3 separate regions of the Mus musculus genome follow, and regions 1 and 2 are each reported to be linked to region 3. The links are microRNA targets in miRTarBase. Many come from high-throughput screens and were not tested one by one. Region 3 holds a microRNA gene; each other region holds the end of a gene's coding sequence.

Region 1 (4,000 bases), not on the chromosome of region 3:
TTGTTAAAACTTATCAGAGAACATTCTGCCATTTGTGTCCTAAAGTTCCATCAGCCATCCAAATGAATATATTTAGTTTCCATGTACTTCATAACTTGAAATTTTTCAGAGAGTTGCTTAGAAAACTATACATTTTGAAATGATTCAGCGCAAAAGATTCTTTAATCTATATGGGCAATGGTTATTCATTAAACAGGATGATGAGAAAACAGGCAACAACCAAATACAAGAACAGAAGTTTGAGGCTGTTGGCTCCATGTAGGAATGAGCATGGCTAAAGACTTGTGTCTCATCTCCTGTGTCTTTCTTAGCGCTATATCTTACCTCAGCACCCATATCACCATATGATCCTAGAGTCTGACTTACATGGTGTCCATATAATATGAAATACATGTTCAGTATGTAGAGACAAATGGGTGCTGAGACTTTAAAGAGTGAAACAGGATGAGCACAGGAATGTGGGTGGCTCTGCATTTTTATAATTGCCTGAAAACCTCACTGAGATGCAAGGGATTGGTTTTGATTATTCATCAAGCCACAGAATCAAGAAGACTGAATTCCAAAAGGCTGTAGAGATTATTGGGTCCAATACAAAGAAAACTAGAATAGGTAATTCTTCTTTCCAAGGCAAAACAGAACTAGAACCCAGGTGTCTCAACTCCTAGTGTGCCTTCTTTTATTCAAGCAGCTGTCTTTCAATAGAAAATATTTGACCACAAGAATTTAATAAATGTATAGAACTGTATAGATTTGTTTTTATCTCATGAATGCTAACTTATTTTTGTGGAATGTAACTTGACTTTAGATAGCCATATTTTCCACATTTTCAAAATTACATATCTAAAGCCAATTTTTAGAAATTTCATACTATGAGCCATATATGCAGCATCAATTTTATAGTGGTGATTTGTAAATAAATGCATTTATTTGTCTCCTGGAGAAGGATAGAATGTCTTGGCAAAGAAGGTTTAGCTTGCATTGGCTTTGGTGTTTATTTATTTATTTTTTTGTTGGTAGCTTTCCAGGTGAATTAGATTCACTGACCCTCTTGGAGGTTGTGTGTATTTTGCATGTCATGGTCTTGTGTGACTTTATATAAGCAACATTGCTACGTGAACTTTAAATCACTAAGAGTTTTGATCTTGTTTTCTATTTACATACATTGTTGCTCATTTCAAGATAATAAACTTTTCTCCATACTTTCCAAGAGAGGGAGAGAAAAATAACTTTTTATGAAAATGGTCATAGAGAAAACTGCTTCTTCTTCAGCTTGCGCATGCCTGGGAGCTTAGTGAATGCAGTACGATTCAGACTCCAATTCTCTGTGTCTTTGAAGATGCAGTTGTTTCTCAGACATTCTGTATGGAGGATTCAGGGTATTGCATGAGCTTGGACAACTTTCCCAAATACTTCTGTTGTTCACAAGATGTCTTATATATTAGGAATATAAGCTTTGGCTGCTTGCATTTGTAGTTCTGGAAGCGTTTCCTTTGTTTCTTTTCCTTCGTCGGAGAATCTCTGAGGGCATGTGCATGTTGGGTGGAATGCTGAACTCACAAGAGGTGATTTCAGAGTCTCTATATCCAGTTGGTGAAAGAGAGAACTGATTTGCAAAGCAGAGGGAGAGTGAGTCATAGATGCTATGGTCCAATGGAGACCCAAGGCTTTGCTTTGAACTTTCCCAGGAAGCCTGCCCTTGGAGTTGGCTTGCAGATTCTACCATCCCCTGACCTTTAAAACTGTTATCACTGGGCAGATGCTTGCTTTCCTAAAACTTTTATCTGGACATCTGTGACGTGAGCACAGCCTGTGCCAAGATCTTGCAAATGCATGAATTCCAAGGAGATGCTGACGTTCGTTATACTTAAAATCCTTTTGTGTTCAGGATTGCTCAGATAAAAGGAAACAAAACAAAGTCAGATCTCTGTCTTGGAAACCCTCCATAGAAATCACTGCCCTTGTTCATGGTGGTTTGGGAGACTCTTCCATAGGTGGGCAGATGCCCTAAACTCATGGGAGAAATGTGTTATGGGTCTATAGAAAGCCCTAAAACCCAAAGTCAGTGATGGTTGCTGTTTAACGTATCCTAGGGATAAAAATAATCAGATAAACCTTACTCTATTGTACTCAATTGAGGTTTTCATCTACTTTGCATTCCTCAGTGGGCAATGGGTTGCCTGGCACTTCAGTCTAACAGGGACTGCATATACTGATAAACTTTGAATACTCACTGTAACGTTGCAGCAGAAATCACTCTACTCACTTGACTACGTAAACAGCAGTACTGGGAAGTTAGAAAATAGTCTTTACTTAAGCGATAGAAAAATAGTCTTCAAAAATACATTGCTAAACTTACGGGTTTGTATTAAAGTAGAATCGTATGTACAGTAAGGCAACACTTCTATTAGCATCCTGCAATGATTACCTTTTAGATCGTTAGTCTTGGGGGAATCGCTTTTTTCTACTAAGAAAACACTAGGGTTTATAACAAACCATCTCTTGCTCAAATGAAGCAAGGAACACGTTTGAAAAGGTTCACTGCGTGGAATTCATTGGCCTTATTTTGTATGAAAATTTTACTTCCTCAAACTACACACTTAAGAAGCCTTAGAATAAAATAAAGTTTCAGCAGAATAACCCAGGCTTAACATATTCAAATCACCTTAAGAAAACACTGGGGGCATGATACCATTTGCATACAGGCAATGGGTCATTAAGGTACAGGGACGGATGTAAACAATTTGGCTGGTGTCCTGGAATGTATTCTTTCCAAAATGTGCAATATTGGGACCATCATCATGAAAATGAAAGAGGAGTGTAAAGGCTTAGCCATCAGTTCTTAAGAGCCATTTTCATGGCATTTCCAGCCTGTCCGTCATCTTCTTGTGCTAGGCCATTTTGACTATTTCATGCCTTCTGTCTGATGACAAATCTATTGCAGAGGCTGTACCTGTTGGCACCATCCCTCAAGAATAGTAAGCGATGTGCTTTTATTTCATTGAATATATATATATGCGCATGTATATATGCATATATATGCACACACATATATATGGTAGCAAAGAGCAAATGTACAAATCACAGGAAACAAGTTGATTTGTTCTGGAAATCAGCTGTTGGAAAGAGGCAAATGCTGAACACAAGCGTGTGGAGGAGTGAAGTAGTGTTTTTCTTTTTGTTTTTTTTTTCTTTTTGTTTTTTTTTTTTATACCCACATCCTGTAACATCTGTTAGCAGACCACATTACTTCATGACTCTGTAGTGTTAACCTGAAGAGAAATCACATTTTAGTCAATCTGTCCATAAGTCTAGCTCTCAGTGAAAGGAGTGCATGAAGCACGTAGGATCCAGGTAATCCAGCCTGCCCAGTTGGAGTCTGCAGTTGCTTGAGGTTGCAGTAAAGCTGGCCAGATCTTTCTCAGATTGGTTCTGTTCAAGCGATGGTGGAACCTTCTTGGCTGATTCCTCAAGCAAAGCTGTGTTCTGGGCTCGTGAGTCTGGCACTAACACCAGGATGTTGTTATCCGTGACCCCAGATACCTTGGCATACTCCTTACTGGTTTCAGGAACCCCAGGGTTTTCTGTCTGGTGGTTTTCTCTCTGCTTGGGGAGTAATGATAGCACTCCGTCTTTGTTGACTTTGTGAATCTCCACGTAATCTGGGGGTTTAGCATAGACAATGGGGCCTTTCTCCTGGAGTGGTGGCCAAGATGTGTTTTGTTTGTCAGAAGGGAAGCTTTTGGCCCCTTCTTGCACAGCCACTTCTTCCTCTCCAGCATCTTCAGACAACTTTAGAACATTTTCCTCTGCTTTGTCCAAGAAAGAGTCCAGTGTATCTCCAGGACTTCCAGCTAGCTTGCACACATCGGCAATGCTGTGGTAAGGAGATCTGCGCGTGTGTTGGCCAGGTGGTAAAGGCCATGTTGTAGATTTGGATGTATCTGTATGACAATTGGGGGTGTTATTTTGGGGATTTGGGGTGGGAGGAATATTTGCCTCA
Region 2 (4,620 bases), not on the chromosome of region 3:
GATGTCTTGCTTTCTATAAAATTTTTCAAGTATCCAGGCATGGTGTGGTACACCTGTAACCCCATTGTTGGGAAGTGGAGGCTAGAGAATCAAGAGTTCAAGGTTAGCCTCAGCTACATGGGGAGTTCAAGGCTAGCCAGAGCTACATGAGATCCTGTCTCAAAAATCATTCATAGGTGACATTTTTAAAGAGCCATTGACAGATTAGTGTGTTTTTAGCTTAATTCCATTCAGTCATTTATTAGTTGTGTTTAATGAAATGATAAAGGATTTGGTTGTATATGTTTTTTGTAACACGAATGAAGATCGTATTAAATGTTTCCATTTAGACTCACATAGTCACCTCAGACATCAGCTGAAATAAAATGTCTGTAGAATAGTGCATGCTTCCCAAATTACACAACTCACGGTTAGAACTGCTGGGGAGACGGATGTGCCGGCCCCAGGTCTACTTTAAGATAAGTAGTGACTGGAGCTCTAACCGTCTTAACCGCTCATTTCTCTGTTCCTTTTAGAACTGGTCCCCAGGAAAGATCTTCTCACAGAAAATGTGCCGTACTGTGATGCGCCAACCCAGAAGCAGTAAAGCTTCCAGGATAAACCCATCTCTGCTCCTTCCCACTTTAAATACATACCTGGCAACGGTCCTGGACATGCACATGTTTCTCTCTGAAGCGCACGTTGCAAATGAGCGACAGGCTGAGGGCTACAGAGGAGATAGACATGCCTTTCACTGACATGGGCAACTGAAGGCCTGGGGAGGCAGGACGCTCCTCTCTTTCCCTTTGGTAGGTCTTTTGGTCTTCCAAAGCTGTTTGCCAATGAAGCACCTTACCAAATTGGTGACTTTTCATCTCATGGGACATACATAGCTAAATATAAAATGCTACATTAAATTGATGTTTAATCCCCAAAATATTAAGTTGGTAAAAAATTAACATTTTTCTTCCAGCTCTCGTCTAAAAGCAGCCATTGTTTCCCAAAGTCCCGTGGTTATTTTTGCGGCTAACAAATAATTATGTAGTGTATTTCTCTGCATTCTTACAAAGACAACGTTCCCCTTTTTGTTTTGTATGTATGGGTGTTTTGCCTGCTTAAATGTCTATGCACCAGGTGTGTATGCAGTGCCGTGCCTGCAGAGGTCAGGAGAGGGAATTGGATCCCCTGGGACTGGAGTTATAGATGGTCATGAGTTTCCTAGAAGAACAGCCAGTGCTCCAAAGCACTGAGCCATCTCTCTAGCCCCATGTAAAGACATTAGATAGATGAAATATCAAAGTCACTCTGGGTCACTGTAGTGGCCCTCTGTCAGATGGCTTGTGGTCTTTGTAGACTGCTGTGAAATGCTATAGATCTCTCTCTCTCTCTCTCCCTTTCTCCCTCCCTCCCCCCTCCCCACCTCTCTTTTGAGATAGGGTCTCCCTGTGCAGTCCTAGCCTTGAACTCTAAGATCCACTTGCCTCTGCCTCCCCAGTGCTTTACATAATTTGATCTCTAGTGTTCCAAATAAATAATAGTAATAATAACAATTGGATTTTATCAAAGTTAAAAACATTTACATAACGATTAGTGAACAATTATAGATGAAATATCTGTCATATATATGATGATTCTATAAAACATATGTTACCAGGTATGAAAAAAGAGTTATCAGACTATATAAAGGACTTCAAATATTCGAAAGCAAGCAGGGGCTGAGATGGCTCAGAGGTTAAGAACTCCTGCTGCTAGGACCTGAGTTCAGTTCCCAGCACCCTTTCAGGTAACTCGAAGCTGTCACTCCATTTCCAGGGGATCCTGTGCACTCTACTGGCCTCTAAGGGCACTGCATTTACATGTATAGACTCAAACCAACAGTGACACACAGATGCATAATAAAGGAATCGTAAAACAAGCAACTCAACTACAGAGAAGTGATTTCCTGTTTATTGGTGCCTTGCTGCTTTGTGTGTCAGCTTACTACTTGCATGCCTGGTGCCCACAGAGACCCCATAAAGGTTGTCGGATACCTTAGAACTCCTCTCTTACAAAGGGTTGTGAGCCGCCGTATGGGTGCTGGAAATTGAACCTCGGTCATCTGGAACAGTGTTTCTTAACCACTCAGCCATCTCTCCAGTCCCTCAACCCAACTTTAAAAGTAATATTTGAACAGATGCTTCATCAAAAAAGATACATGGAAGCTGTCAGGGTTGCCAGTTTTGGAACCCACAGGATGGAACGAGAGAACCAAATTCTGCAAGTTCGTGCTTCATGCACACACAATCACAGTTTTGAATTTTTTATTTTTTGGTCTTTTGAAACAGGGTTTCTTTGTGTAGCTTTTTCTGTCCTGAACCTCACTCTGCAGACCAGGGTGACCTCAAACTTACAGAGATCTCTGCCTGCCTCTGCCTCCCAAGTGCTGGGATTAAAGGCATGCGCCACCACGACCTAGCTTAAGTTTTCTCTTTTAGATCTTATATTTATTTGTATGAGTGTTTTGCCTTCATGCGTTTTTGTGTGCCACTTGCATCTCTGTTGTATTACAGATGGTTGTCAGCCAACATGTGGGTGCCAGAAATGTCACTAAGGGTCTTGGCAAAAGCACTAAGTGCTCTCAACTGCTGAGCCATCTCTCCAGCCACATTTTTTTTTTTTTTTTTTTTTTGAGACAGGGTTTGTCTGTGCAGCCCTGGCTGTCCTGGAACTCACTTTGTACACCAGGCTGGTCTCGAACTCAGAAATCCGCCTGCCTCTGTCTCCTGAGTGCTGGGATTAAAGGCGTGCACCACCATACCTGGCTACAAATTTTTAAAGATATGCAAATGACAGATATAGTGTGAGAAGTTGCTAGTACATTAACAGGCACTAGGAATTAAAATCATAGTGACATAGTTATGTGTCTATTAGAATGGCCGAAATCTGGATGGTTGACAATATCAAGTATTGGCAAGGATATGACTTTTCTGAGACAGGGTCTCACTGTGTAGCCTTGGCTAGTCTGGAACACATTATATATTTTTTTCCTTATTTTATCAAATCCCTAAATTATCCATCATCCTATTGGCTCAGGACAGATTCAAGTTTTATTGTGATGGTTGTTTTTGCACTGCTGTGATAAAACAGGTGAAGAATAACTTACGGGTTTGTGTTACAGCATGATTTCATTCCAATACCTTAAGGCGACACCTTAACAAAACATGGTGGCAGACAGGAAACACTTGGCTAACTAAGCCTGGCAGGGAGTGGGTGGGCAGGCATAATGTTAAAATGACTGTTTCTAGTGACCTACTTGTGCCAATCAGGTTCCACCTCCTAAAGGTTCCACATGCTTCAAAATAGCCCTATGAGCTGGGGGAAATAAAAACAAAAAACAAAACTGTGGGAGACATTTGAGAGTCAAATTGTAACCTGTGTGTGTGTGTGTGTGTGTTCGTGCACTTGGGTGTGCACCTGTGATTGCATACATTTACATGCTATGACATACATGGAAGTCAGAGAATAATTTGGGGAGTTGATTCTCTGGGACTTGAACTTGGGTTGTGGCAGCAAGCACCTTTTTTTCTACTAAACGGTCTCATTGACCTGCATTATATGTGTACCTTGAGTTGGAATTGTGAAGGCCTGAGGCTATAGCTCAGTGGTATGAAATTTGTCCAGTATGTACAAGGCCTGAGGTTCAATCTCCAAGAAAACCAGATGAAACAGAATGAGTGAGGATTGATAATTCTGTGCGGAGTCTGTGGAGTATGGGCGGCAATGTCCACACAGACTGTGCCTGTCTTTGTCAGGTATCCCAAGGATACCTGGAGATTCCCATGCTGCTCTGTTAATGTAAAAAAGAACGCTAGGGATGTGGGTGTGGTTCTGTTAGCTGAATGCTTGCTTAGTGTGTATGAAGCCCTGAGTTCTATCCCCAGCACTGCCTAACCCAAGTAATTCCCCGAACTTGGGGGTGGGGGTAGCAGCTTGAAGATCAGAAGTTCAAGGTCAATCTGAGCTTCATAGCAGGATTGAGGCTAGACTGATGTGTGAGACCCTGTTCAACAAATGATGAGTTTATTAGAGTATTGTCTAGGGGGCTGGAGAGATGGCTCAGCGATTAAGAGCACTGGCTGTTCTCCCAGAGGACCCAGGTTCAATTCCTGCACCTACATGGCAGCTGGCAACTGTAACTCTAGTTCCCAGTGACCCGACACCCTCACACAGACATACATGGAGGCAAAACACCAATGCACATAAAATAAAAAATAAAAATATTTTTAAATTGTTTATAAGATGTAATACACAATGTGATGTGGTTCTATCTTTTATAGTCTTTTTAAAATTCATTGTGTGTGCGCACGCACGTGTGCGTGCGTGCGTGCATGTGGATTTGTGCATGTGAGTGCAGAAGCCTGTGGAGGCTAGAGGTGTCAGATCTCCTGGAACTAAGAGTTATGTATGATCATAACCAGACTGAATTGGGTGCTTGGAGCTGAAGTCAGGTCCTCTGGAAGAGGGAACAGTGTTCTCAACTCTCCAGCCCCCAGTCTTACTATCTTAAAGAAATATAAGTGCGGCTTAAAGAAATATTAACTGGGGCTGGCCATGATCATGTACATGTTTTAATATCAGCACCCAGGAGGCAGAGGTAACCTG
Region 3 (4,620 bases):
CTGTTGCCTGTGGATTTACATGTGGGCCTAGGCTGTCTTTAGAAGCATTCAATATGTTTTGATCACATTAACCTTACCAGGTGTGTATTTTTGGTGCTTTGCAATTTATTTTTAAGTGGTGGTGTGTTAATATGACATTAGACTTACTATAGACTGTTCTCTCTCTTTTTCTTTGATTTTTGAGTCTACCCCCACCCCCATGAGCTTCAGGCTGAATTCAGGGCTTTGCTTTTACTAGGCAAGTAAGTACTCTACTACTGAGCTAAGTCCCCAAACCCAATTATTTCTTTTTAAGAATAATTGTTATTATTTTATGTGTATGTGTGAGCGGCTACATGTATGTCTGTGTACCATGTGCATGCCTAGTGCTGAGGAGGCCCTAACAGGTGTCAGGTCCTTTGGTGCTAGAGTTATCAGCATGTATGTGAGCTGCCATGTGGGTACTAAGATATGAACCTAGATACTCAGTAAGTACAGCAGTGCTCTTACCACTGGGCCATCCTCCCCCTCCACGCCCCCCGCCCCCCCAGATAACTTATTCCTAAAGAGCATATTTTTCCTTTGTTTGCTCCCATGTATATATAGCTATACTCTTTATAGACTTGTATATTATTCTTATCTGTGTATTAAATCTTTGCATAGTTATCATTTGAAACAGTGTTGGAATGGTTGTCTTTTTTATTTTTATTTATTTTTTTTTTACTTTTTGAGGCGAGGTCAATTTGTGGTAATCTTCCTGCTTCGGATTCCTAAGTGCTGGGTTTGCAGGCATGAATTACCATGCTCACCTCGGGATAGACTTTGAAGAGCAACTTTGTGTGTCATGGGCCACCTGACTATAGAATGGTGGCAAATCTTCCCATGTAGACTGTGAGGTTCACTCACCCCAGATTCTTTGCTGAGTAATGTCCATTCGTAGGTAGACTCTGTGGCAGTTAGAATCCATCCTGGACTCTCCCAGCTCTCAAGTCCCTCTCCTCTCTCTATTCCCCTTTCTTTTACTCAATTAATAATAATAGTTCATATACAGTCTCAGGAAATTATTTTTTCCCATATTTTGGGATGTACTAAGGCAGTCTTTTCTGCTTTTTAATGAGGAAAAGATTAAACCAGTTATATGGAGATTGGAAGGGGTGTGGCCTAGTAGTTTTATTTTGACTTTTTGGGCCTAAGGGAAAAACATAACTCAGTCACAGAGGCCAAAAAAGATGGGTTTTGTTTTATTGTTTTGGCTGCATTGAAAATACAAACTGTCAGTGCTTGAGGAACAGGAGCAGCAGAAAGGAATTGATTTTTTTTTTCCCGCTGCAGATCCAAGTGTTGTTAACCATGTGCATTTCTAGAGTGGCATGCTTACAGATCAGACAGCACTTGATTTTTCTCCCTCCACAGAACACCGAACTCTTCTTTTTAACATTTAAGTAAGTACCCTAAACTTCAGGGTAATGACAATAATTTCATGATAAAAGTGGGTGATAGTAACCATGGCAACTGCTATCTTTGGCCTTATGGACATCCTGTTGTATTGATGAAGCTTTGGATACTTGAGGAGCCTGTCGCTTCTGTGGTGAAATGTGCTAGCACGTGCTGCAGGTGACTTCTAGCTGGATTGTGTTAATCTCCGTGCCAGCTTATCTCTCCTCGTTAGGAGTTTCTTGGCCTGTATTCTACAGCATGTTTGTGAAGGTGCTGTTGCCTGAAAATAACCCACCACCTGCGGTAGGCCTCCTGATGCAGACTGCAGCCTCCTTCCAGAGTCTTAGAGAAAAGAGGGCTGTCAGAAGGAACTATATGTATGTAAACTACAGTTCAGATTGGAAGTGCTCTTAGTAGCTTACAAAAACTTTTGTAATTTTGGAAATTGGAATCTTTTTTTCTCGGAGTTCTGTAGTGTGTGTATATAGATATTAGGAGTGGTGAGTGATGGGCATAACTGGAAAGGGAGGATTTGACAAGAGAAGCGCTTAGGTGTTTTGTTGTGAGTGTGTGCGCGTGCATATTACTGTAAGGATATATTTCCTAGTGAACAATCCTAGAGTATAGCAAATGCTTGGTTATAGAATTTTTTAAGTAAAATTATTTTAAAATATATTTAGAATAATTGTTAAAGGGGACACAGTATAGTAAAAGCATCTTAGTGGGGAGATGGTAAAAATGTTGCAACTGATCCAACAAAACTTATTTTTAAAAGTATAAAATTATGTTTCTGTCATGTCAGTTATTTTTAAAGCATTTTGTTCTTACTTGAGGTTTTTCTAGTGGAAGTTATTAATGCGAATTGCTACTTTTTCTAATATGTACTAGAGAAACAATACCAGAGCAGAGAGCAAACAAATTTGATTTGAATTTGATTAGACTCTGAAAATAAGACCTAATCAGATGCGCTCCACAGTTCAGACTTTCTGAAACTTGCTGTGAAAAGCTGGTTTACTTACTACAAGTCCCAGGATGCACTGCAGCTTTTTCTTAACTTCAGATAAGAGCATTGCATGCTGGGACATGTAGTTGGTTTAAATAGCACGGAGAACTCTTTTTCTTGTCTACTCCATTTTATAAATAGATCCCTAAAACTCTAAGAACTTCATTTTTTTAAAGTTACATTAATGAAATCATACTTACTCTGTTTCTGAAATTATAAAGTGAGACTTTATAAACAGCTTGGTGTTCTGTTTTATCACAGTGCTTTTACTAGCTTTTATAAGATCTAAATGCAAAATAACATATTCAAAACTTGACTTGGAAACTGTAAGTAGTTTCTGTGCATGTGGTCGAATAGGTTATTGCAGAAGTCTGGTATCATTGTTTTCTAGTGAGGGCAGTAGATGCCTTTTTGTCAAGCCTGACACATGCTATTCCTTTTGCCCCCAGTGGGGAGAGTTATTCAGCTGGAATTATTATTATTATTATTATTATTATTATTATTATTATTATTTTATTTTGTTTTAAGACAGGTCTTTTCTGTGTAGTTTTGGCAATCCTGGATCTTGCTCTGTAGACCAGACTGGCGTTGATACACCTGCCTTTGCTCCCCAAGTGCTGGGATTAAAGGCGTGCACCACCACCACCTGGCTTGGCCTGCGGGCTTTTTATTCCCGTCTTTAAATTCAGAGTTTTGTGATGCTTCTAGAATGATTAATTGGTCAGTATTGTCTAACTGGGAGAAAATAAATGATTCAATATAATTGAATTATTTCATGTCATTTATTTTTGAGACAAAATCCTGTATAGTTTATGCTGGACTTGAACTCACAGACTTACTGCTTCAGTTCTCTCAGCTCCCACCCCTCTTTTGTGTTTTTTAGAGGCTCTTACTCTAGCTCAGCCGGTTTCTGTATCTTGTGGTCCTGCTGCCCCTGCTCTAAAAGTGCCGGTTTTGTAGGCTTGCTTTATTTCTCCCCCTGCTCCATGTAGATTGATGCTAAGAGATGCAGCCTGAAGAGAGAGAAGGAAGGGCAGATTCTCAAATAGCTTAGATTTTCGCTTGTAAAATTTCAAAACTTTGTTTTGACTGTTCTTTATGAACTCCTGTAGGGTTGTTGTAGGATTGGGTGTAGAAGTCCTGAGAGTGCTCACTTAGCTTAGTGGTTGACGTGTAGTTAAGGCTCAGTAAATACTTAGGATTACCAACAACCATTTTTATTTCAAACAGTTCCTCCACCTTTAACTTCTTTTTATGTTTAGTTTAGTTCGAAGCCCAGGTGACTTTGGAAGACTTTGTTTTGAGATTTTGGTTTCTGGTAATGATGTGGCTTAGACTGATTTGCTGTTCATTAAAGTGTCTGTGTGCCTCAGTTTCTATCTAAATGATATATGCCCCAAATTGGACAAATACGCTAGTAGCAGGATGTTGGCAGGATTTGGTTGTACCTGTTCAGTATTGTTGTACTGTATTGCAGTGTTTCATTGACTTCAGAAAGTTTAAAAGATGGTGTTAGTAATGTTTGCACTGTTAGAATTTCCAAATAGCTGATTAGTAAAAGTAAGACTCTGGAAAAATGCTCTTGGTATCATGGTGAGTGCAACCTTGGGAAAACCCTCTGACCACATCAGCTTGTGGGACTGATAGAGAGGGCTACCCCCACTCTGATCACATCAGCGTTGCAGGACTGATGGAGAGGGCCACCCTCCCCCCCAATGTCATTCACATCTAGGGTGTATTTAGAATGGAGGTTCAAAAGAATTTACATTTTAAGTATTTACATTTTTTCTTTTGTTTTAAGGTACTACTTTTATTAGGCTCTAGAATTTTTGGGATATTTTTACTTTAGCTGTGTGAGGTAAGAAGGATGTTTGAGGTGGGAAAAGGGTACCTAGGAATATTGAAAAATATAAACGTAAATTCCAGTATATGTTCCATGCCTTAGTTGGAATATGAAAAAGTCAGATAATTGTCTTTTTACCTGCTTAACTGATATCCACTCGTTAGCATGGACTTCTTGGAACATTGTCATAGATTACTGCTAAACTATTTACTGAAACTATTTCTTAGCAGTAAAGTACCATTTGACTCTACTTTGCCCTTCCATGGGAGGCTGACACCTTTTTGAAGTATCAAAAATATGTGGACTCTGGTTGGATATGCTTCTACATTGTAAATTGTTTTATTTCTTTTCTATTAAT

What was found. The annotated mature microRNA mmu-miR-1955-3p reads GAGCAUUGCAUGCUGGGACAU and lies in region 3 at 2,481-2,501, shown strand. An mRNA with a match to its seed (bases 2 to 7 or 8) in the 3' UTR can be bound and repressed. Matches are read on the target gene's strand: a 7mer-m8 pairs with bases 2 to 8, a 7mer-A1 pairs with bases 2 to 7 and ends in A, and an 8mer does both.
Region 1: the mRNA of Prlr is a reported target of mmu-miR-1955-3p. The part of its 3' UTR that is shown has no 7-base or 8-base seed match.
Region 2: the mRNA of Lyrm7 is a reported target of mmu-miR-1955-3p. Seed matches in the 3' UTR shown: 7mer-A1 at 883-889 and 7mer-A1 at 1,343-1,349.

What each region holds. Positions count from the first base shown.
Region 1 is chr15:10,328,583-10,332,582 of GRCm38, reverse strand. Prlr (prolactin receptor) reads right to left here. Exons shown (of 10, transcript NM_011169.5): 10 at 1-4,000. The coding sequence ends at 3,316. Among named protein-coding and RNA genes, the nearest start is that of Gm41269, 27 kb to the left of the region's middle.
Region 2 is chr11:54,837,098-54,841,717 of GRCm38, reverse strand. It overlaps Lyrm7 (LYR motif containing 7), which reads left to right. Exons shown (of 5, transcript NM_029327.5): 5 at 516-3,368. The coding sequence ends at 586. Among named protein-coding and RNA genes, the nearest start is that of Lyrm7os, 19 kb to the right of the region's middle.
Region 3 is chr2:92,189,555-92,194,174 of GRCm38, forward strand. Mir1955 (microRNA 1955) reads left to right here and starts at 2,423; the gene lies at 2,423-2,520. The region is part of intron 1 of Phf21a (PHD finger protein 21A); the gene reads left to right.